Notamacropus eugenii: one gene and its partner. The protein of the gene in region 1 binds, or shares a complex with, the protein of each later gene. Links are inferred from orthologs where the notes say so. Each region holds a gene or a part of one and is shown in the gene's direction. Other genes may lie near its edges.

What was found. Proteins that work in one complex are often made in the same cells at the same time.
Region 2: the proteins of PRPF40A (region 1) and SF1 are in contact, whole or in part, in an NMR structure (PDB 8PXX), measured with the Homo sapiens proteins. The link is inferred for Notamacropus eugenii from reciprocal best matches to the Homo sapiens genes PRPF40A and SF1. Residues at the interface, in NP_001352526.1 of Homo sapiens: His164, Ser166, Tyr172, Tyr174, Ser181, Thr182, Trp183, Tyr213, Tyr215, Ser222, Arg223, Trp224; in NP_004621.2 of Homo sapiens: Pro575, Pro576, Leu577, Pro578, Pro579, Gly580, Ala581, Pro582, Pro586, Pro587, Pro588, Pro589, Pro590.

The regions. Positions count from the first base shown.
Region 1 is NC_092876.1:210,020,342-210,031,217, reverse strand, and holds the start of PRPF40A (pre-mRNA-processing factor 40 homolog A), read left to right. Parts: upstream 1-6,254; 5' UTR 6,255-6,513; coding exon 6,514-6,915; intron 6,916-7,958; coding exon 7,959-8,090; intron 8,091-9,399; exon of another isoform or gene 9,400-9,431; coding exon of another isoform or gene 9,432-9,479; intron 9,480-10,876. Other genes in the region: ARL6IP6 (ADP-ribosylation factor-like protein 6-interacting protein 6), read right to left, coding at 2,355-2,423, 5,076-5,499.
Region 2 is NC_092873.1:17,540,298-17,551,184, reverse strand, and holds the start of SF1 (splicing factor 1), read left to right. Parts: upstream 1-6,633; 5' UTR 6,634-6,819; coding exon 6,820-6,850; intron 6,851-7,161; exon of another isoform or gene 7,162-7,291; intron 7,292-7,634; exon of another isoform or gene 7,635-7,793; coding exon of another isoform or gene 7,794-7,812; intron 7,813-8,237; coding exon 8,238-8,366; intron 8,367-10,887. UniProt on the Homo sapiens protein: Necessary for the ATP-dependent first step of spliceosome assembly. Binds to the intron branch point sequence (BPS) 5'-UACUAAC-3' of the pre-mRNA. May act as transcription repressor.

The DNA.
Region 1 (10,876 bases):
TTGGTTGTATTTCAAGTAGCAAAGGATACACTAAGTTTTAAGTCTAATTAGAAAATATACATGAAAGGAAAATGCCAACATATGTCACCAAAAAACAAAACAAACCAACAGAAGAGGCTCTAAAAGAGAAGAAAATCCTTTTGCCCCCTTTCCAGAAATATTCAACATACTCATTATTCAAGCAATAGTCTCTTTCAGTAGCTATTTAGAAGACTGATTAGTGGCTACTTAGAAGACTGATTATTTGCTTCTGTAAAGCAGAAAAAAATATTAGAAACGGAAAGACACCAATTTTGCATACTAACAGGTTATTTTATTAAGTTTAGCACTGTGGTCCACTCAAAACAAATAAATGGCACAAATGATTAAAAAAAGTGGCATAGCATTCTGATGACTTAACTTCTGGTTCCAAAGTGCTATTGCCTTTTTATAGGAACAATGTACAAACCCATATACGTGTCTATAAACCAGTTATCCCCATCCTCTCTAAAAGCCCTGGAAAACACAGATACACAAATTTAAGAAAGAAGTTAGATTATCTTCACTAATTTTTCTAATGCTCTCAAACAACATTTCCCAATATATATTTTGATTCAATTAGTCAGCTGGGTAGCACAGCAGACAGTGTGCTGGATTTGGGATTCAGAAAAGACTTGAGTTTAAATCCCACCTCAATTATTTAATAGCTAAGTAACCATGGGCAAATCATTTAACCTCTTGTGACCTCAGTTTCCTAATCTGAAAAGTGGGGATAATAATTAGCACTATTTTACAGAGGTATTGTGAGGAGCAAATGAGATAAACATATAGTCTGCAAACCTTAAAGTGCTATATAAATGCTATTACTATCACTGAGACCATTTGCGGGAAATGTAAGAATTGTAACTCTACTAATCTACCAAAGTGGCTTTGTGGTCCTTGTTTTCTTCTGAGTTTGCCATGGACTTTAAGCTTCCAGTTACTTTTTTGCTCTCACTTAATTTTTATGGTTACATTACAAAATAGTAATGGCAAGATTTTGAAAGACAACTTCCTGGAGTTAGACCTCAGTAATGATATATGGGACGTAGGCCTCAGATGAGAGGCTTAATCATTTCCTACTCTCTGGGTATGCCAAATAGCTCTGGTATCATAAATGACCTAAGAAGCAGAGATATAAACCAATCAACAAAGAAGAATTTTGTGAACATTGAAAAGAGGCAAGCTTTTCAACAAGATGAAGGATTAACTACAGGAGAATGAGTGATATGATAAATAAAAACAGACTCCACAGAAAGATGGCACTAGTCAGAGATCACAAGGCTGTGAGTCTATTATTCAGTAAAGCTGAAAACCAGCTTCTCCTATGGATAGAATCAGCCTTAAAAGGTTAGTAAATATGCTTCAGACTAACTTTAATAAGTGAGCCTTTTCACACTTTCAGAAACAGTAAAGGAGATATATTCAATATTGTAGGAAAACAACTTTAATGACTGGAGCCAGAGGAGCAATGTCTTCAACCATTTGGGAGGCCAGGGAGGTTTAGCTCAGAGCCAAAAGAAATCCTAGGAAACAGGCCGAGATATGATTCTGGGAAGGATTAAAAAATTTTTTTTCAAGATCTGGTAAGCATTTAGATCCTAAATTTCCTACATGATACTAAGTGTCATCTTTTTTTTGTTTTGCATACAATACCAACAAGGTTGAGGTTCAGAAGAATAGACACCTTATAATCTGTGCTTGCTGAGGTAATCTTTGTCTATATGATAACATATTGAAAATGTGTTTATTTCTATGATTTGGAGGGAAAGGTGTGATTTTCCTAGCTGTTGGTGTTTTGGTTTTTTTTTTTTTTTTTAAATATTAACCCTGTCTTGGCTCTAAATCAAATTATCCATATCTCATTTAGGACAGTTTAAGGCAATCAACTTCCTTGCGGCTAGTTAAGAGCCATCTAGTAAGGGCCTAGAAAGATCCTGTGAAGCTAGAGCAGAAAAAAAAGCCAGTAACTCCTTAGGGAAAATGGGAATAGTTGTAGACTTTGATAACTTAACCTACTCTCTCAAATACTTCTATCCAAATATACAAAAGTATAATGAGTACTTTTTCTACTTCTCATCCAGTGACAGAATAGTAATAAAATTTTCTATTTTGTTAGGGAAGGAGAAATGTATTCATTTACTGTTACATGATGAGTGTAAGTCACCTTACAAATACGATGTAAATACCAAAGAAAGGAAATACGTTAGTTAGGACTGAATGCTATTACTCCTTCATAGAACATGTTTTATCATTTGGTGTTAATCCCCTGACTTTGATTTGCACAATAAATTTCACATCTGGGAAGAAAGCAAAAAATCTGGTAAGCCAATTACCTATTTTGTTCATACCTAATAAACCAGTTTCTACACCATCTTCAGTCTTCAAATTCTCAGCATGCAATTCTGTAAATACAAAAGGAGGTTTAGATTGGTAAAAAAATTTAGTTCCTAATAAATCAGAAAGCACTTATTCATCAACTTTGTGAAAGGAACCTGGACTTTAAAAATAAAAAAAACCAGCCCTCAAGCTTATATTCTAGTAAGTGAAATAGGTATACATACAAAGACATACAAAGTACAAGGTAATATTGGAGGATGAGGGAGAGTTGTGATCAGGAAAAAACCTTGAGTAGGAATTCCTGAGTTAAGTGTTAAGCAAGGTTAAGGCTTCTAAGAGGTAAAGGAGTAGAAAGCTTCAAAAGCACAGACAGAACGTCACACGTAAAGGACAGTAAGGAGGCCAGTTTGCCTAATTTAAAGAGTTTTGAAAGATAGGACATGTAATAAATCTGGAAGGTAAGGTGAAGTATTTTTGTATCTCAAAGGCATATGATCTTTTGTGGAACATGTCAGACCTATGCTTCATTAATATCACTTTGGCAGCTCTGTGAAAGACTGAGAGGTGAGACGCTTAGAAGACCAATAAGGAGGCTTTGTAATAGGCCAGATAAGAGGCAAATGGCTGCAATGGAAAGAAAATTACAAGTAACAGATGCAAGAGCTTGGGGGGGCAAAAAAATTTTCATGACTAGCCAACTGACTGGATAAGGAAGATGAGTTTAGAGTGATTGTGAGCTCTTGTAAGGGGGATAATAATACCCTAACCACAAATAAGGAAATTCATTAAGAGGAAACAGCACTGACAGGAAACATCAGAGGAGTATTTGGGGGTGGAACTTAATCCTTCAAACATTATGATAAATTGTCTTTTCTGTATGAAACCTACCATGGACACTAGGTAGCAATGCCTTCCATTAGGAATCATGCAAAATGAGGGGGGACAAAGTGGATTCTGGATTGAGTTCCTAACAAAGATTTTTTTTCATTTTTATTTTATCTCTGCATCCTGACTTTCCTCAAGTCCCACCTTCTGTAAGAAGCCTTTACTAGTCCTAACTTTAGAGCCTTCCTTCTGAGATTATTTCCTATTTATCCTGTATACAATCTGTTCATACAGTTGTTTGTATGTTGTCTCCTCCATCAGACTATGAGCTCTTTGAGGAAAGGGGCTGTTTTTGGCCACATATTTATCCCTAGGACATAGCAAAAAGTAAATACTTATTGACTTGACTATATGTACACATAATCCTTGTAAAGTTTCACATAACTAAGGTAGGTAGGTACTACCTTCCTTTTATTTAAAAAAAAAAAAACAAAACTCCAGACATTGATAAGATAAATGGTCTAAATTCAGACTAGTGTTTCCAAACTTTTTTGATTCTGTATCTCTTATCAATAAAAAAATTTTTGAGCACCTACCCCTAATACACAAATTTACTTATTTATAAGTTATAAAGGTGCTACTGTACTAATTATCTATATTACAAAATTTTCACAATATGATGAAATAATATCTGATCCTATAATACAGAACTATAGGACCAAGTACAGGAGTGATATGCATGGTCAGACCAGCATTTCAGGATAATAATCCCTTTGGCAACTGTGTGTAGAACAGACTGGAGAAAAGAGATCTGAGACAAGAAATCAATTAGGAAGTTACTGCAACAGCAGGGGATGATGAAAGCCTGAAATACGGCAGCAGCTGGGGGTAGAGAGAAGGGCAGTTTCAACTGATGTTGTACTACCAGCTAATATAGTGCTCAGGTTTTAATTAGGCTATAACCGTCTAGAGCCCAAATAAGACCAAAAGGGAGAGACTGGGAGGGTGCATAGCTATGGAAGGAATCATATTGTTAGGCAGTAAAGGATGAAGAAGGGTTAGTATATCTGACTGGAAAACAATCCTAGGGAGGCAGGTGATTATGAAGTGGAGGGTGAGATGTGATCCATCTAACTACTGCTGGATCTCCACTACTAATTTTACTATGAAAGTGCTTGAAAAGTATTTGTTGGAAGTATAAGCCAATGAATTGCCATTTTTAAAAGAGCCCCTAACTCCAGCACTTCCATATCATTGGTTTTCCGACTTCCATAAAAGATGATAAAAAAAGATTTTTTAAAATGGCAATGACAAGTAATAAACTGAGCTAATAGCAGCTTCCATACAATGAAATCAGTATGCTTAATCGCTCTGGGACAGTAGTTGGTGAGTATCTGGGGGGCTCTATCAAATCTGGCCTCAGACTCTCCCCAGAGATGTCTTAACCCGGTCTGCCCGTTTCCTCCTCCGTAAAATGAGCTGGAGAAGGAAATGATAAACCACTCCAGTATTTTAACCAAGAAAATCCCAAGCGGGTTCCCAAAGAATAGAACACTGAGATGACTGAACCAGTGGGTCGGTAAGGTATCCGAGTATTAAGACCCCACCTCCCCACTCGCCCTCCGCAAACAAGCCTTTACCAGTCCTTCCTCTGAGACCGTCCCCCATTTTAACCTGTACAGACTTGAATCGTTTCCATCTAGTTTTCCCAGTATTAGACAGAGGTCCTTGAAGGCAGGGGCTGCCTTCTGCCTCTGTCACCAGCAGCACTTTGCACAGTGCCTGGACAAGTACTAGCTGACTAACGGACAAGCCGAGGTCCCACGCCCCTCCACTCGGCCGTCGGCCCGGCATTGCTCGGCGCCCCCACGCTCCCCGGGCAGTCCCAGTACCTTTCACGACCATGTAGACGATAGCTAGCAGGAAGGCAAGGAGGGCGGCGAAAAGAAGAGAACAGACCACCGACAGGACCCGCACCGGCCACCGCTGGCCACGGGGAGTTCGGGCGGCCTCCGGGACTCTCACGGTCACCCCATTCTGTTTCTGCAGCTGAGGCGGCGGCGTGTCCGCCAAGAGCTCCGCTCGCAGGTCCCGAACCACTTCGTCCACCCCTCCGTCCTCGTCATCATCCTCGCCTTCCCCCCAGCTACCCCCAACCTGGGAGGGGGAGGCGTTGGCAGGCAGGACCAGGGAGGCCGGAGGCCCGAGTCCACGCTGGCGAATCGATCGGCTCCCACTAGCCAAGAACGACATGGCGGGAAAACGGACAACGGAACCCGGAAGCTCAGGGATTTCCTCCCTCCCCCTTCCCCCCATTAGCCAATTAGCGCCCCGAAGGCTCTCCGGGGCCTACCAAAAAAAGACCTGGGGGGAGCGCCCCAAGCATGGGGAGGGGGCCGCAAGAGCGCCCGGGAAAAGTGCAACGAGAAATGAACCCCACGCTGGGGACTGAGGGAGGAGGAAGGCAGAGGGAAGCAGGGGTAAACGGAGAAGAGGACGGGAGGGGAAAGCAGACATCTCCAACAGGACAGCGTCCCCCCCTCCCCCCACCGGCGGTGTAGGGTCCCAGCCCCCAGACCTCCGCCTCCACCACCGCGTAGCCTCCAGGCAAGCCGCGTGCCTCACGGCCCAGCAGGCCACTCCTAAGCCGCAAATTCGGGCGCTCGGTCCTAGCGCCCGCCGCCATTGCTGCCGTCCGCACCCCTCTGAAACCCCTTCCCTAGTCCGTCTGCTTTTTTCTTCCGTCGTCCCCTCTTAGGCACGCGAGGGGGCTTTCTCGTCTTCCGCCTACACGGCATCTTTAGCGCGCGACGGCCTGTCTCTTCTCTTGCCTAAACTGCTTCTTCCCATCCCCCTATTCGGCTTTCAACCTCCCCACTTCCACACTTCCCTTCTCGCGCAGTGCCGCGTCACGCTCGCCGCTCTTCACCCCGGCCATCGCGTGCTTCGCCAGTCTCGCGCTTTCTCACCCGGTGCCTTCCGCGTCCACGAGCCCCCTCCTCTTCCCCTCCTCCCTCCCCTTTTCCTCCCCCCTCCCCCGCCCAACCTCGAGCGGCGCGCGCGCGCATCCTGTCCCAGCCACCGCTAACGCTAGAAGCTGCTTCCCCCCCTCCTGGCTCCCCGGCGGCCTCAGGTTTGTGGGGCGTGCGTAACTCGGGTGGGGGGTAAAGGCGGCAGCCCCCCCACTGCCCCTCCCCCTACGGGGTGAGGTGGCTGTTAGGCCCGGGAGGCTGGGGCCTACGTACTCTTCTCTTCCCCGGGGGAAGTTGGTGGAGTTTTCCCGGCGGGGGACTCGGCGCAGAAACTTCCTCCGTCCCCCTCCCCCCCTCCATGCAGGCGACGCCGAGCGAGGCCGAGGCCGGGGGCGAATCGCCGCAGAGCTGCGTGCAAGCTGCGCGCTCTGATTGGACGGCGGGGAAGCCAGTCAGCTTATTGGCCCCGCTGATCCCGCCCCGCAGCTCCGGGCAGCCTCTACCCTTTGGCCCCAGCGGGCGCCAGCCACTCAGATCGCTCCTTGTTGGAATGTGTAGCGGCAGCGGCCGCCGCCGGAGCAGCCTCAGCCCGACGATGAGGCCGGGGACGGGAGTCGAGCGTGGAGGCCTCATGGTGAGTGAAATGGAGAACCGCCCTCCACCGCGGGGTCCCGGGAACGGGGAGCGGAGACTGTCCAGCTCGAGCCTCTGCTCCAGCCCATGGGCCTCTGCGGACGGCTACCTGAGGAGACGGCCCTCGGTAAGGGAGCGGTGGGGCGGGGGAAAAGCGGCACAATGAAAAAAAGAAACAGGAAGCCTTCTCCCTGTGGGGAAGAAAAAAAAAGGTGGACGGAGGAGAAGGCCTGAGGTGGCGGGATCTGGCTCTGACGGAGGGAAATGGAGGGCGGAGTAGCACAAAGGAAAGGCTGTGGGTCCCTGGGAGGTGGGTATTACTGTGGCGAAGATGGAGGAGGGAGCTCTGGACAGAACTGGTGGCTGGGTGGTGGCAGCAGAAGTCTGCTTTGGGGTGCAGGCCTGATTTGGCCAGGATAGTGAAGGGAGGAATGTGACTTGTAATGAAAGAAAGGAAAGAGTGAGCAAAGCTGGGTTGAGTTGCTAAGCGTGTAATTACTTTGTGTGATTGGGCACCTTTGTGGCCTAAATAAATTATTTGGATTTTATAAACTTAGTAAAGCAGGTACTCTTTCTATGGCACTTTTTGTACATAGCTTGCCGAATGGCCAACCAGCAGTAGTTATTTACTTTTAGAGCTGAAAGTGGTATGAAGTAGCTTTTCAGAGAGACAGAATGTTTTGATCTACCTTAGTAAGAATTTTTCGGGGAAATGACAGGTTTGACATTAGAAAAACAACCACAGGTAGCTTTTGTAGTATTCATTGAACCTTTTAAAATAACCCGTCATTTATTTGTAAGACAAAATAATTTAGTCTAAAATTTAAAAGCCGGCCTTGATACATAGGCAGAATAATAATGAGTTCTTTTCTTCCCCAGAATTGGTCTTAAAATGAGTTTTTCGTTTCCTTGGCATACTATATTTTAGCGCAGTAACTTACTAAGATACTAATTCTTTTTCGTCATTTTTGATTATCCATAAACAGGCAGTTTTTCTCCTCACTCTTCCCTCCCTTATAAAGTCCATATTTTATAAATGGTTAAGTCTCAAGTTCCTCAGTGTTGCCAAATACCTTACCACCTTACTTCAGTGATAACAATTCTTGATGCTTTGGGGGTGGGAAGACTTTATTGTTAATTGATGTTTTCTTCACTAACACTGTTTTTCAGATGGGACACCCTGGCATGCATTATCCACCCATGGGAATGCACCCTATGGGTCAGAGAGGAAATATGCAACCTGTACCTCATGGAATGATGCAGCAAATGATGCCCCCTATGGGAGGTCCTCCAATGGGACAAGTAAGACAGTTTTTAAAATTATATTTGCTTTGTAGCATTACTGTGATAAATAATTTAAAGCTTGGATAAGTGTTAGTAAATGAGTCTAAGATTCATATTTCCCCAAAAACACATTCAAAGGTTTCAAGTGAAATGAAATGTCGAATTCTGTCCGTAACCAGAGTTTTTGCTGTATTGAGGCTGTCGTCCACATAAAAATGCTCATCATTTCCATTTTGAATAGCAGTTTTTTGGTAGCTTAAAGGTTATGTTTTTAGTTGACTGATTGGATCTTTTCAGGCAAGTCAATTTTGTCTTATGCCCTAGCTGCAAATCTAGAAACTTTCTGTTCATTTCACCATGTCTTTTGTGGGTTACCCAACTGAGGTAAATGTATATAAGAATAGGAAAACCTACATCAACAACTTTGTTTAGGTGTTTGCCTTAGAATTTGAGTGTTATCGCATTTTTTGATACCAGAACAGTCTTCTTGCATTTTCCTGTTCCACATTGCTAATTTTCTGTAGGACATTTTTATTTTGAATTAAGAAAGTGCTTGTTGATTTTCTTCACTCCTATTGATGAACTATCCCTTCTCTCTCTAGTATAAATTGTAAATAGGAGTGATTTGTATCAGAAAGCTTCATTAGTGCTAACTCAGTGACCCTGTAGTGTTCTAATCAGGGAGAGTAACTAAATTCAGTAATTGTGACTGATATTTATACTTTAAGTCTGTTAGATGCTATGTGAAATATAAGTAGCTGGTTTCTCTCCATAAGAGTCTTGATATTGAAAAGTCATCAGAAATCTAGATTGTAATATCACATGGAGGCAATCAAGGGTGCTGAGTATGATCTTTCTCTAGTTAGTTTTGTTTAGTTTGATATTTGTTAAAAGATCATTGTTCATAGTGAAATTGCATAGCAGCCAGGAAGGAAAAAGAGTCCCTTTTTTTTTTTATTTTAAATTAAGAATAGAAAGGTTTATCACAAATACTTTTCTTCTGTGTAGTTTTTCTATAGTTAAACCAGTAAGTGGTTTAAAACTCTTTATTCAGAAGTATCTGGCCGAAGAGACTGGCTCTTTGCCTGTAGCATCTCTTTAAATAACTGAGCCATTGGCCTTCTGACCTAGGAACAACATAAGTTTCAAAATTCTCTTGGTGGTGGAAAAACAACTCTGTGATCCTTCTTCTGTTCCTTACAATCTCCCAAGCAGCAAGGAGCTCTTGGTTTCTTGATAGAGCTGCTCTAACTAGATATTGAGCTTTTAAAAAATATTTATTCTTTAAATGCTCTGGTTCTTATTTAAAATTAGTTTCTTTCCACAGAAAGATAAAATAAAACAATTTGCTACTGCCAGATGCTTCTCTCTTTTCTGGGGCCTTCTGTTTCCATTGGGCCAATCAAGGTAAGTTATGCAAGGGATTGACCTGCTTTTACCCTTGCTATGGTGCTATGGCACTATTTTTCAAAACCAAGACACTAGTTAGTCATTTTTTAATTAAATGCAAAGACTTTACCTTTTTATAATTGTTTTGGTTTGTCTTAGTATGCTGTCAGCTGGTCACAGTTTACCTTAAGGCCTTTCTCGTTTAGATGCTGAAGTGACCACTATCTTTTGGGGTTTATTTCCCAGTTAATTACATACTCTTTCAGACATTGGACAGTTGTGCTTTGTGGTTTTTCCCACGTTCTCTTCCAAAAGCCACCATGTCATGTGCTTGCACATGTCATTTGATTGCTCAAATTTTGAGGAGTCCATCTCTCTACTGACTCCTGTAAATATAACAAGTGGCTGTCTCAGGAATCTTCAACTCTGATCCACAGAGAGAATCTCATTCCATTACTTGCCGTAGATACTTATAGATGCTCCTATTTTTATTGATGTCTTTAGAATTTAAAAATGGAGCCCTGGATCTTGGCACAGCCAATTCTTGGTTATCAATGGTAACAGGAGACAGAGACAGCATGGATAATTAAAATCCATGGATGATTCAAATACTCCATTTAAACCCACACACTGTTAAACCACCAAAATATTACTAATAAATGGCAAAATTGTTTCACTTTTCATCTTCTTTCATTTCACTTGCCCATCCTCTGTAGAGGTATTCATGAGCAGTGAAATGGCTGGAAGTAAAAAGAAGTAAAAGCAAAGGACCTGTATGCATCGGAGTGCCAAAGTTGCGGGGGCGGGGTTTCTATCATATAGTTTAACCATTTCTGCAGTTTGATTAATAAAGTTTTGTCTTTGGGACTTAGAATTTGGGGAGTCTAGCTATGTGGTGGCTACTCTTCATATTTCATCCTAAGGTTGATTTGTAGGCTATGTGAAAAGCTAAAGTTGATGGCAGTCTTACATGTTCAGTACAAGTTAATGTGATTGATTTATGAAGTAAACTTCTTAAACTTTTTTTCTTATTTGCAAAATATTTCCTTAAAATTGGTTGAGAGAAAATCTAAAGATTTTCACTGCAACTTCATTCCTAATTCACATCAAAAAAGGCAGGAGGGGATTTGGCTTCATATGTTATACTTTAAAACATCAGTCCTTGCCCTTCATGATACTCATGAACCAAATTAAATGGGCTCAGTTATCTTATCTGCTCCTCGATAGTAAATTGAAAAACATTGAGCTAGTTTGTTTTTGACTCTTTCATGTTTGCTGTTGTCATTTCTCAGGTCCACTCGTTGGTTCTTCCTACTCCCAAATTAACATAGCTGTATGGTTGGTTACAGTAAATTGTTTCCAAATTCACAGAATCAGTTGTAGAGCCTGAAAGGAATTCATAAAGCATCCAAGTT
Region 2 (10,887 bases), on another chromosome or scaffold:
ATTCTAGGTGACACATTTCAGAAACAATGATAAATCAGCCAGCATCGTGTAGCTGGCAACCAGATGAAGAGCCTTGAGATGCTGCCATGTGAAGCACATCTAGGTGGCACAGTGGACAGAGAGCTGGGCCTAGAGGCTGGAAGACCTGAGTTTGAATCTAGCCTGAGACCCTGCAAAAGTCAACTTTTTTTTGGCCTCAGTTTCCTTATCTGTAAGATGGGGATAGTAATAACACCTGCCTCCCAGGGTTGCTGTGAAGATCAAAGGGCTTAGCACAGGGCTGGGCACATTGTGCCACATACATGCTGACTATCCTCCTCTTTAATATTATTATAAACATATTGTTATATTCTATTATTTAATAGTATTTATAAATAGCATTTAACATTGTCCTCTGAAGGCTCTGGACGGGATCGTTGCTAATATCCAAAGGGCTGTCTCACAGGAGAGGGCTTCTACCTCTTCCCCTTGGCCCCAGAAAGTGGGTGGGAATTGACAAAGAGGTCGATTTCAGTTCCATTTAAAGTGATCCGTTTTGAGTTGGGTGGATCTGCGAGGGGGCACAGACATTCTCCCTCTAAGTCTGGGGCACATGGCCCGACAGATACGGGGGAAAGTGGTCTCTAGCTAGGGATGACAAGGCAAAGGGGCAACTCACTGTTCCTGTGGCCTCCTTTTCTGGACTCCTCATGACATCCCCCTGCAGCATGTGTAGCACTCTGCTGGGCCCCAAGAACTGAGATCTTTGTAGCCTCTTGAAGGGGTCATGCGCCCTAAACATGCCTTTCAGTGTGGCCAGATTGCATTAATGTTCCTGACACTGTCAATGGGGAGTGAATGGAGACACTAATTCTGGGGTGACTCCCCTCCCACACTGCTGTCCTTTGATCATAGTCCTCAAAGTGATCTCAAAGATTAATTTTTGAAAGAAGTTGCTAGAATGCTTCTCTGACATGTGTAGGCCCAGAGGGGTGTCTAATTCAGGGAATCCCCTCTGGGAGCTGGAAACGTGCTAAAGATGCCTTAATGGAGCCTTGAGAGGTAAATAATAGTCCAATTATGTTGCAAATATATTTTTCCTGGGTGATACCCAGCATGTGCATGAGACATCATGAGTTTGTTTCTGCAGTGACCCCAAACTGTCATGATCATGCACACAATTTTTGGTGTTCATGCTGCAGCTACAGCAAAATCTGATGGCATCTGATGAGTCCTTGCAGTTTCTCAACCTGTCATCAAATTGTTCTCAAGTCACCACCAGGATTCAAATTCTAATGCAAATGGACTCCCAAGGGATGGTGGAAAGCAAGCGTGCTCACAGACTCATCAGCACTCTGCTGGCTGCCCCAGTGCTGCTCCCTCATTCCCTTCTGTCACCCTGTAATCAGACCTCATCAGCTGTATAATCACAGTCTCAGGTTGGCCCTCTTGCAGCACCCCGGAAGGCATCTGATGAAACCGTCATGGACCATCAAAACACTTTCTGTGGCCTCTCACGGAAGTCCAGAGGCTGACGTTAAGTTTAAACTTATCTTCTTCTCTAGTGGATATTCAATTGGACCAGGCAGCAACACTGGACAGTGTTCCTGTACTTTCTATGAGAGTGTAACTGGTACGCCAGTTGTGGAAAAAGAGACAGTCTCTGCCTGAAGAGAGCTTTCACTTCCCAAGATTAGTTTACACACAAACACTGCTAAAAAAAACAAAAAAATATGCAACTGTGCTCTGAGGACAGTTACCAGTTAATGCGACACTTGGGATAAGGCAGGAGATAAATAAATGCTTTATATTCTAATGAGCTATTAATTGTCAATGATTGATTAGGCAGCTAGAAATAAAAAAATGAATTTCCATCTTTCAGCAGAAAACTTATAAAATTCTCCTGCCATTTTCCACCTCTTATTTGTGTGAACAAAAGACATTATTCTTGTTTTAAATCAAAACACAGAAATTGATGCAGAACCAGATTTAAGGCTGTTTATTGGCATTCAACCAAATACTACAAAATTTTATTCAAATAAAGTCCAGCATAAAAATTAACTTTATAGGTGATTGTTATATTCTACTAAACATTTTCCAAGTTACAACTTATTTCAGTAAAAATGATTTTCTTATTTAACAAAATTTGTAAAATAAACTTAATAGGAAGTCTTGCAGATAAGAAGCATGTGAGGTCTTACTGGATTATATCTTTGCAGAATGTCCTACATAAGGCATTCGTAATTATTTTGCAGTTTTATATTTAGAATTTTTAATCAATCCTAATACATCTTGCCATCTGATTTCATTCAGTGGCCTGAAGCACTTCTTGTACACATCTAGTTTATAGCTCTGATTAATTAAATGATTCAGTAGTGGTATCTAAAGATTGTTCACACTTAGTTTAAATATTTGCTCCCAGAACTCAATCAAGGAGATATTCTCCACCACAGAGTTATCTGGTGTAGAACATCTTGTTAGCTGCTGTATTCCAGGGGGTGGGGGCATGAGACACCCTCCTACACTCTTCCATTTGCTATCCTCGGCAAATCTATTGGAATGCATTTGGTAAAGTTCCTAGTCTCAGATTCTGGCTGGCTCTGGTGACCTGGGGAAGTTGAGCATCATCTTTTCTCAGTTCCTTCCCCAGTGATTTTCCTAAAATGCAGGTCTAACCCAGGCCAGTCCTACACTGCTATAGACTGCAGTACCTCTTGCCTCCAGGATCAAATACAAATCCTTCCAACTTGGTCCCTGGTTCTTGGACCTTATTGTCCACAGACCTCTATGATCTGACCTAAGTGGCCTCCTTGCTGGTCCACTCTAATTCCCATCTGTGCACTGACTGTTTCCCGATGCCTCTTCCGGGTCTTCCTGGCTTTCTTCAAGATTCAGATGGAGCACTGTCTCTGCAGGAGGCCTTTCCTGGGCACCATTCCTCTCCCCCTACCCCAGTCTCTAAGGCCTCCCCCTCCCAAATGACTTTTCTACTTGGTGCTTATCTTGGTCTATACCTCTACTATATGTACCATGCAGTACCTGTTGTTTGGCTCCATGTTAGAAAAGTTTAAGCAACTGCTTTTAAGGTTTGTGAAGGATTTACAGATGTGAATTCCCTTCATCATTCAGTCACCCAGCATTGAAGTGCTTTCTGAGTGTTAGGGTGGGGTGTACCTTAGACCCAGAAAGACAAGGGAGGTGGGAGACAGAACTAGGTGGGAGATAGAACTAGGTGGGAGACAGTGGGCTGGACCCTGGAAGACCAGAAAGTTGGGGTAGCACTTGGGCAAAGCAATTAACTTATTTTGCAGTCAATAAAACGGGCTCTAAGGTCCCCAGGTTTCTCCCCTCTCTAGCTTTGCGTTTGTTTTCAGATGAAAAGTTCCAATTGCTCTGAGCCCTCAGGAAAATCCCTCCTACCTGGAAGAGGCTGGGTTCCTTTCTCTTGCAAACTTAATCCAGTTTATTGTAAACACTTAGGTAACAAAACTTTCCTTCCCGTGGGAGTGTTTGAGGACCGCCAGGCATGGAAGAAGGGGGAGCTGGAAAAAGGCTGGCCTGTTTTTCTCAGGACTTCCTAGGCCTCCTCTCTTCGCACCGACCTCGGAAATCCAGACCTTCTGAATTTCCTCCCTGGTGTCCTGTCTTGTCCCCCTCCTCCTCAGAGATTTTCTCTTTCTTACTTAGACAAATTGCTTATGGAATAACCCAGTCTCTCCCAGTTTGGAATGGTTCTAAGGAAGTTAATGCTCACTCCTCCATTCTCTCACCTAGTTAAGGCAACAATTGGGCAACCCCAATGAAGCACCTGCTAAGTGCCAAGTCCGTGCTAAGTGCTGGGGATACAAAGAAAGACCAAAGTCAGCCCCTGCCCTGGAGGGGCTCCTGGCTGAATGGGTGAGAAAACTTGAAACCAATCCCATACCAATGAGCCCTAGACAGGATAAATAGGAATTAATTAACTAAGGGGCTGGGGAAGGTTTCCAGTAGGATGCCTGAGAGACAGCCAGAGAGAATGGCAAGAGCCAAGAGAGGGAGGGTCTGTTCTTGGAACAGCTGTAAATGTCAGAGTCCAAAAGGGTGGCCAGAGACCAGGGAAGGGGGGTGAAGCGGCTAGGTCTGGAGCCAGGAAGACTCCTTCCTGAGCCCACATCTGGCCTCAGATACTTCCTAGCTGGGGGACCCTGGGTAAGTCACCTCACTCTATTTACCTCAGTATCCTCATCTGTAACATGAACTGGAGAAGAATATGGCAAACCATCTAATATCTCGACATGAAAAACCTGACACAACTGAACAACAAGACTGTGAAAAGCTTTAAATACCAAGCTGAAGAATTTATATTTGATCTTAGATGTAACAATAAAATCAACCAGCATTTATGAAGTTTTTACTAAAGATCTGGTCCTGGGAGTACAAGTACAAAAGAAATGAATGCTAGATATTAGAAAATGGGGAGATTTTAAGTACATATGAAAAGATATAGGGCAGGGTCTAGGTCCTCAAGTTCAGCCCTCTTGCTGATCCAAACTTCACAGAACAAATCCCCTTGATAAAAGGATTTGTTCTGTAAACAAGTCTTTTGGCCGCCTCAAGGACCTAGAAAGCCACATGTGTCCTCGAGGCTGCAAGTCCCCCACCCCTGAATAGGGCATAAATATAATGTGAATAAATACAAATATATGCGACATCCTGTGGAAGGAAGGGGTCAGGAAATGTTTAGAGAGGAAGATGGGGTTCAAGCTTGGTTTTCAAGACAGAGAAGGGACTCTTTAAGGAGGAGCGAATTTCAGGCATAAGGGATAGCCAAGGCAAAGACATGGAGGTGGGAGATGGATTTGTTGGATGGATTGACTCAGGGGAAATGACTTCAGGGTGATATGGGTCTGAATTAAGCTAGTAGGTTCCAGGGTAGAAAAAAAGGTGTCAGTGGTTGTGAAAGTGGAAATGGCAAGCTCTGGCAACTGGTTGGATCTGTGCAGCGAGGGAGAGCGAGCCTTTCCCGAGGTTAGGAAGTCTCGAACCGAAATAGGGACATGTGGGAGGGGAGGCTGAGTCTGAGAGGTCTTTGGGACATTCAGTTTGAGACGTCTCACGTGAGACAAGCTCAGGGAAGGGCCTGGGCCAGGTCCATGGGGACTGCTGAGATCACCAAGTGAGAGGCTGTAAAGGGAAAAGCCAGCCCGGCCCAGGGCCAAGTCTTGGAGGAACCCCCAAGGTCAGATCCCACAACGCGGGTGGGGAGATTCAGAAGAATAAGCCGGAGAAGGGCATGGTCCACAGCATCAAAGGCCAAAGACAGGCTTGGCACAAATAGGGCACGGGGGACTCTGGAGAGGGCCGGGGTTCAGCTGGAGGACAGGGGCAGAGAGGTTGAGAAAGGGAGAACAGTGGGGGGGTGGTCCGGTCTAGGGCAGGGGCCTCCCGCCCCGCGCCTCGAGGCTGCAGGTTCCCCCTCACCTCCAGAGCAAGGTTTTTTTGGGGAAGGGGAGGAGTGAGCACGTCTGCAGGCAGAAGGAAGGGGGCTGATGGAGGCGCTAGCCCGGGGGGAGTGAGAGGGGGCAGCCTTGGCAAGGAGAAGGGCCAGAAGGGTGGTGAGATAATTAGGGGCCAGGTCCCCAGCTATGAGCGGGAGGAGCCAGCATGGGGGGTGGAAGGAGCGGAATCCCGCCACGGCCAGGGAGGGTCTCCACCCCAGGACAAGGGGCTGCGTGGGTCCAAATGGGTCCGGTAGGTATAGAGGGGAGGGTGGCGCTGAGGCGGGGATCGTGGGGCGGGGCAATGACGTCATCGCGCCCTTCCCCGCCCCCAGCAAAACCAGAGGGGATGGCCAGGGACGGGGTGGGGGGAGCAGCACTGTGGCGGAAGAGGAAATCAAGTTCCTGGGCTGCCCAGACCTTTGTCCGGGAGGTCGTGGTCTTGGGCTAGGCGGCCTGGCCACCTCTGTGCCTCAGTTTCCCTGTCTAGACAGGGATGGACACTTAGGTCCCTTCCGTTCAGGTCAGCGGGGGGGGGCGAGGGGGGGCGGGACCTGAGATCACGTGGCAAAGCACTTAGCCAAGGTCCGGGAGCATCTCTAAGCCAGAGAGGGGCGGGTCACCTCTGCAACCAGAGTCGGCCCAGCTACCGAGGCCATGGGGCTCCGTGCGCATGCGCCCCCCCGCCCCAGCCCCGGCCTGGCGCCGACTCCGAGGCCGTGACCTCTTCTCCAATCAGGGGGAAACTGCTCCCCAGGGTGAGGGGGGCGGGGCGAGAGGCGAGAACTCGGTGCAGCCAATCCCGACCCACCTCTGCGCTTGATGGACTGTACTCAGTTCAGCCAATGAGAGGGCCGCTGCTCCTTGACGTCATAGAGTTCGCCTCCACCCCCACCCCCAGGTAGCCTAGAACTCAGTTCGCGCAGTAACAAATGTAGAGCGCACCGCGCCCCCTCCCATCCCCGCCGCCATTTCCTCTCTCTTCCTAACGGCTCGGGCCAATCCCGGCTCACCCAGCGCCCGGCCGCAGTTCCGCCAATCCGAGCGCTCCCATCCCAGCCCTGGACCTAACGTCCACCAATCGGCGGCGGAAGGCCGGTCCGCTGGCCCGCCCCCTGGTCCCCGGCGCCCCCCTCCTCCCTCTTTGTGCGTCTCGCGCCGCCCGCCCGCCGTCGTCGCCGCCGCGCCCGCCGCGTGAGAGGAAGGAGCTCGCGCTCGCTCCGCGGTGCGGTGCGGTCCGGTCCGCTCGGAGGAGGCTCGCCGCCCGCGCCGCGGCCCCGCGAAGGTTCGCGAAGCCCAAGTCGCCGCCCCGGAGCCGCCCTCGCCGCCCCAGCCGCTGCCGGCGCCGGTCCCCGGGGGCGCCATGGCGACCGGAGCGAACGCCACGCCGCTGGGTAAGCTGCACCCGCCGGCCGCGGCCCCGCCCGGCCTCCCCCCGGGGCCCGGGCCCAAGCGGGCCTTCGAGCCGCCGCCGCCGCCGGGGCCGGGGGGGAGCGGGCCGGGACCCGGGGCGGGGCTGCCGCTGGGGCCCGTGGGCCCCGGGCTGATGGCGGCGCCGCTGGCCGCGGCCTTCCCCTTCGCGGCGCTGCCGCCCCCGCCCCCGCCGCCGCCCGCCGCCACTCCCGGCCCGGCCTCCGGGCCCCCGCCGCAGCCGCCCCCGCCGCCGGGCCCCGCGTACCCGCAGCCGCAGGCGCAGCCTCCCCCTCCGCCGCCGCCGCCGCCTCCTCCGCCGCAGCCGCCCCAGCCGCCGCCGCTCTTCCAGCACGTGTCTCCGCCGCAGCCGCCGCCGCAGCCGCTCCAGGACCCGCAGCCGGGCCCGGCCGGCGGGGGAGGAGGTGAGTCGGACGCTGAGAGCGAGCGAGAGAGGCCGGCGGCGCGCGGACAGGCCGGCCGCCCGAGGGGCGCGCGACACCACGGCGGCGGCTCGCGGCGGCGGGGGCGGGCGGGGGCGCGCGCGCAGCGGGGGGACGGAGGGAGGGGGCAGGGGGGCCGAGCTGGGGGGCACGCCGCCGCCGCCTGCGCGCGCAGCCCGAGCCAGGGAGCGGAGGGCGCGCACGCGCCGTCCTCTGCAGGCCGGGAGGGGGGGGCAGGGCAGGGGCGGAAGCACTGTGCGCAGGCGCCGTCCGCTTGGCAGGCCGAGCCGGGGCATTTTGGTGCGCCTGCGCGTCTTTGAAAGCCAATCGAAGGGGGAAGGGGGCTGGAGCGGGGGCAGCTTCCACCGCGGGCGCCTCCAGGTGGACGGGTGGAGAGGGAGGGGTCCGGGGCGCCCCCGCCCCGTATGGGGTGAGATAGGTCTGTGAGGAAGGAGGGCTGACGGCCCACAGAGGAGCCTCGGCCATGCTGGGCCGCCTGGGCGGTGAGAGCGGGGTGCGGGGGGGGGGGGGGGGGGCTGAGGGTGGTTCGCCGCCCTTCCTGGGCCTGCCCTTGGCTGTATGGGGGGGCTGAGCCTTGGGCCTGGCTGTGCTCTGATGGGGGGGCATCAGGGTTACCCAAATGCCCCCCCCCCTTTGTTAGAGGAGGCTCTGAGAGGGAAGCCTTGTGAGCCAGTGGTCCTCGTCCAGTCCCTGGTCAAGTCCCGGTCACCACAATGTCTGGGAGTTTGTAGTGACCCAGGGTTAAATTGGGGGTCCCCTGAGGTTTCTCCTGGCTGCTTTTTCATTGTTGGTGGCGGGTGGAGATCCAACTTTTGGGCCACGATTGGGCTCCCTTGGCTCACGGTAGGGTATACGCTTGCGGGCTCATAGATTTTGTTTGGGTCTAACGAACCACGTTTGCCTTCAGATTTCCCAAATAAGAAGCGGAAGAGGAGCCGATGGAACCAGGATACAATGGAACAGAAGACGGTGATTCCGGGAATGCCGACTGTCATCCCCCCTGGACTTACAAGGGAGCAAGAAAGAGCTTATATAGGTAAATACACGTTCTACATGCAAACATATTGAATCACGTTCTAGTTCATCTGAGAAATGTCACTGACTGCTGAACGAAGTGTTACAAATTTACATTTTCAAGATTTGGGCTATTGTCAGGTATGACTGCTTAACGTTTTAACTCACGAGTTTTTGCTTAACCAGTACTGTACTGTTGAGCCCGGTCCCCATCTGTTCATGACAGCCAGGTTCTCCGTGGGTGCCAGGAAGGTGTGTGTATAGGGGGTAGTAGAATCCCTGGGACAGAATATTAGCCCTACCTTCATTTTCCCTCAAAACATTTTCTCTGCTTAGTGAACTTAAAGAGGTGGGAGAAAGGGGGGGAAAATGAGGCCTCTTAGGTGAGGGTTTCCAGTGGACCCCAGTCAGCAGGTACTTGTGGAAGCGAGTGGTCCTTTCTTTACCCAAGAAATATAGCGTCTTCCACAATGGTACCATGGTGTGGCCTGAAAGGGGCAGAAAAACCTGTAACAGCTGAATTTTAACGTCATAAGTGCTTAAGAGAAAATTTGGTGGTGGTTTATCTTTACTTAACATTTGGTTCCAGAAATTTAACCTTCCCTTCAGCATCTGTTCTGGTTTGGTCTCTGGAACTGTTTTAAACTAAGGCATTTGTATTTGCTCACAAAGAACTTTGCTGGGAAAGGAATACTGCTTGGGAATGGAGCTGGCCTTGGGTAGTTGAAAAAGTCTAATATTACATGGGGAGATAGGATATTTCAAGTGTTAAAAGATTTATCTCTGTATTGGGAATAATTCTACCACATTGCAGTTGAAGTTTGAAACTTCAAAGTGACTTGTCTCATGTTTTGATATAAGGTTTTAATGCAAGAATTTTGTGTTTATTTGCCAACTTGTGCAGGTGTCAAAAAAAAAATCAGTTTAAACAATTCATTTTTCATTAAGGAGGCTGTGGCTTTAAATAGATCCAGAAGCCTCTTTAAGGCAGTCAGCAAAGGTGTTTTCTTGGGGCTGTGCCATGAATTTTTTTTTTCTGCCTTTGTGAACCTGAGAGTTTTGGCCTCTTGGGGCCGGCACATGACTCCAGATGCGGGCCTTCTGACTGGAAAACCTGCCCTCTAGTGGAGAGTTGTGCCCTTATTCTTGGACAGCAGCCCAGCTCTATTGACTCCTCCTTACCTTGGGCTCCCTTGGTTGTTAATGGACAAAGCCCCAGAGTTATTTACAGCAGCAATCAGTGTAGAGTCAAAGGGCAATCCAGGGTAGAACTTAGCTAACCCCAAACCACAGAACTTAAGTCACCACCAACCACTGGTGGAGGGAATTGCATTAAAGTCATTAGTGTCTTGGGCTTTATCCAGAAGTCCAAGGGAAACTCTGTCTCTTGTCTCCCATACCCACATTTCAGTAGGTAAAAATGTACAGTAAGTAAAATATAATCATGAAGGTGAATCTCACCTTGGGCTACTTAGCCTGGGCTGTTTGGACTTGGAGATTTTTCTGTGGCAGAGAAGAAACTAGATACTTTGAGTTGGAAGTACATTATTAGTCCCATTCAATTAAAAGCTCTGCAGGCCTTTGCCCTTGGTTGGTTTAAAGGTAAGAAGTAGGTGATTATTTAAACACCTTTGGGGAAAATGGTATTGTGTCCCCAGGCACTACAGGTCTCATTATCTCTGAAATCAAGTAATGTTGCTCAGAGCCACTGGTAGATTATTATCATTATTCCGATTGTGAAACCCTCACCTTCCTTTCTTCTGTACAGCCTCAAATGTCGACAGCCAAGGTGGGGGGTCACATGTTACTCCCTTTTGCCCTTTGTGCCTGTCCCCCTAAAACCTTTGTGGTAAAAAACAAAACCAAAAACAATTCTTGCATCTGTGACTATTGGTTTATTTATGTATATCGCTTGTTATCTAACACTTGAATAGCAGGTATATTGGCAGCTTTACCTAATATGGATGGGCCGGGTAGTATGCAATAGGATGTTTGTGAATTTCTGGATTATCTTAAGGGGATTTGGAAGGACACTCAATATGCCCAGTAGCACAATCCACACTGGAAAGGAAATGATCTTTGCTCAACTGGTATCACTTTCTGTACCTGCATTCATTAATTGGTCCTCAGCACAGACCACGTTACTTGTTTTAATGGAAAAAAAGGAAAAAGACTTTGACCCTGAAGAGAATAATATGGTGGGGTGGGTATTGCTGGCATCCACGATTTATTTCTGTTACCAGTTGGAGCAAGCTTTTGTTACTGGGACAGGTAGAGCAGAAACATCTCAGCTCCCCACGAACTGTTTTGTTGTTAGCTGTAGTCATTAGGCAGCCTTTATTGCTAACACCTCTTCCAACAAACTGTTTGCTTCCCAATTGATAACCTTCTCTGAAGAGAAAAATAGCTAGAGATATAAATGGATTCCTGCCGAAGTATATGATTGGTAGGTGGTTGGGGGTTTTCCTCAGTTTGTTCCCTGGTCAGTCATCCCTTTCAAAGTCTCCAAGTTCTTCATGCTTTGATGTTGAGATTTGAGATGT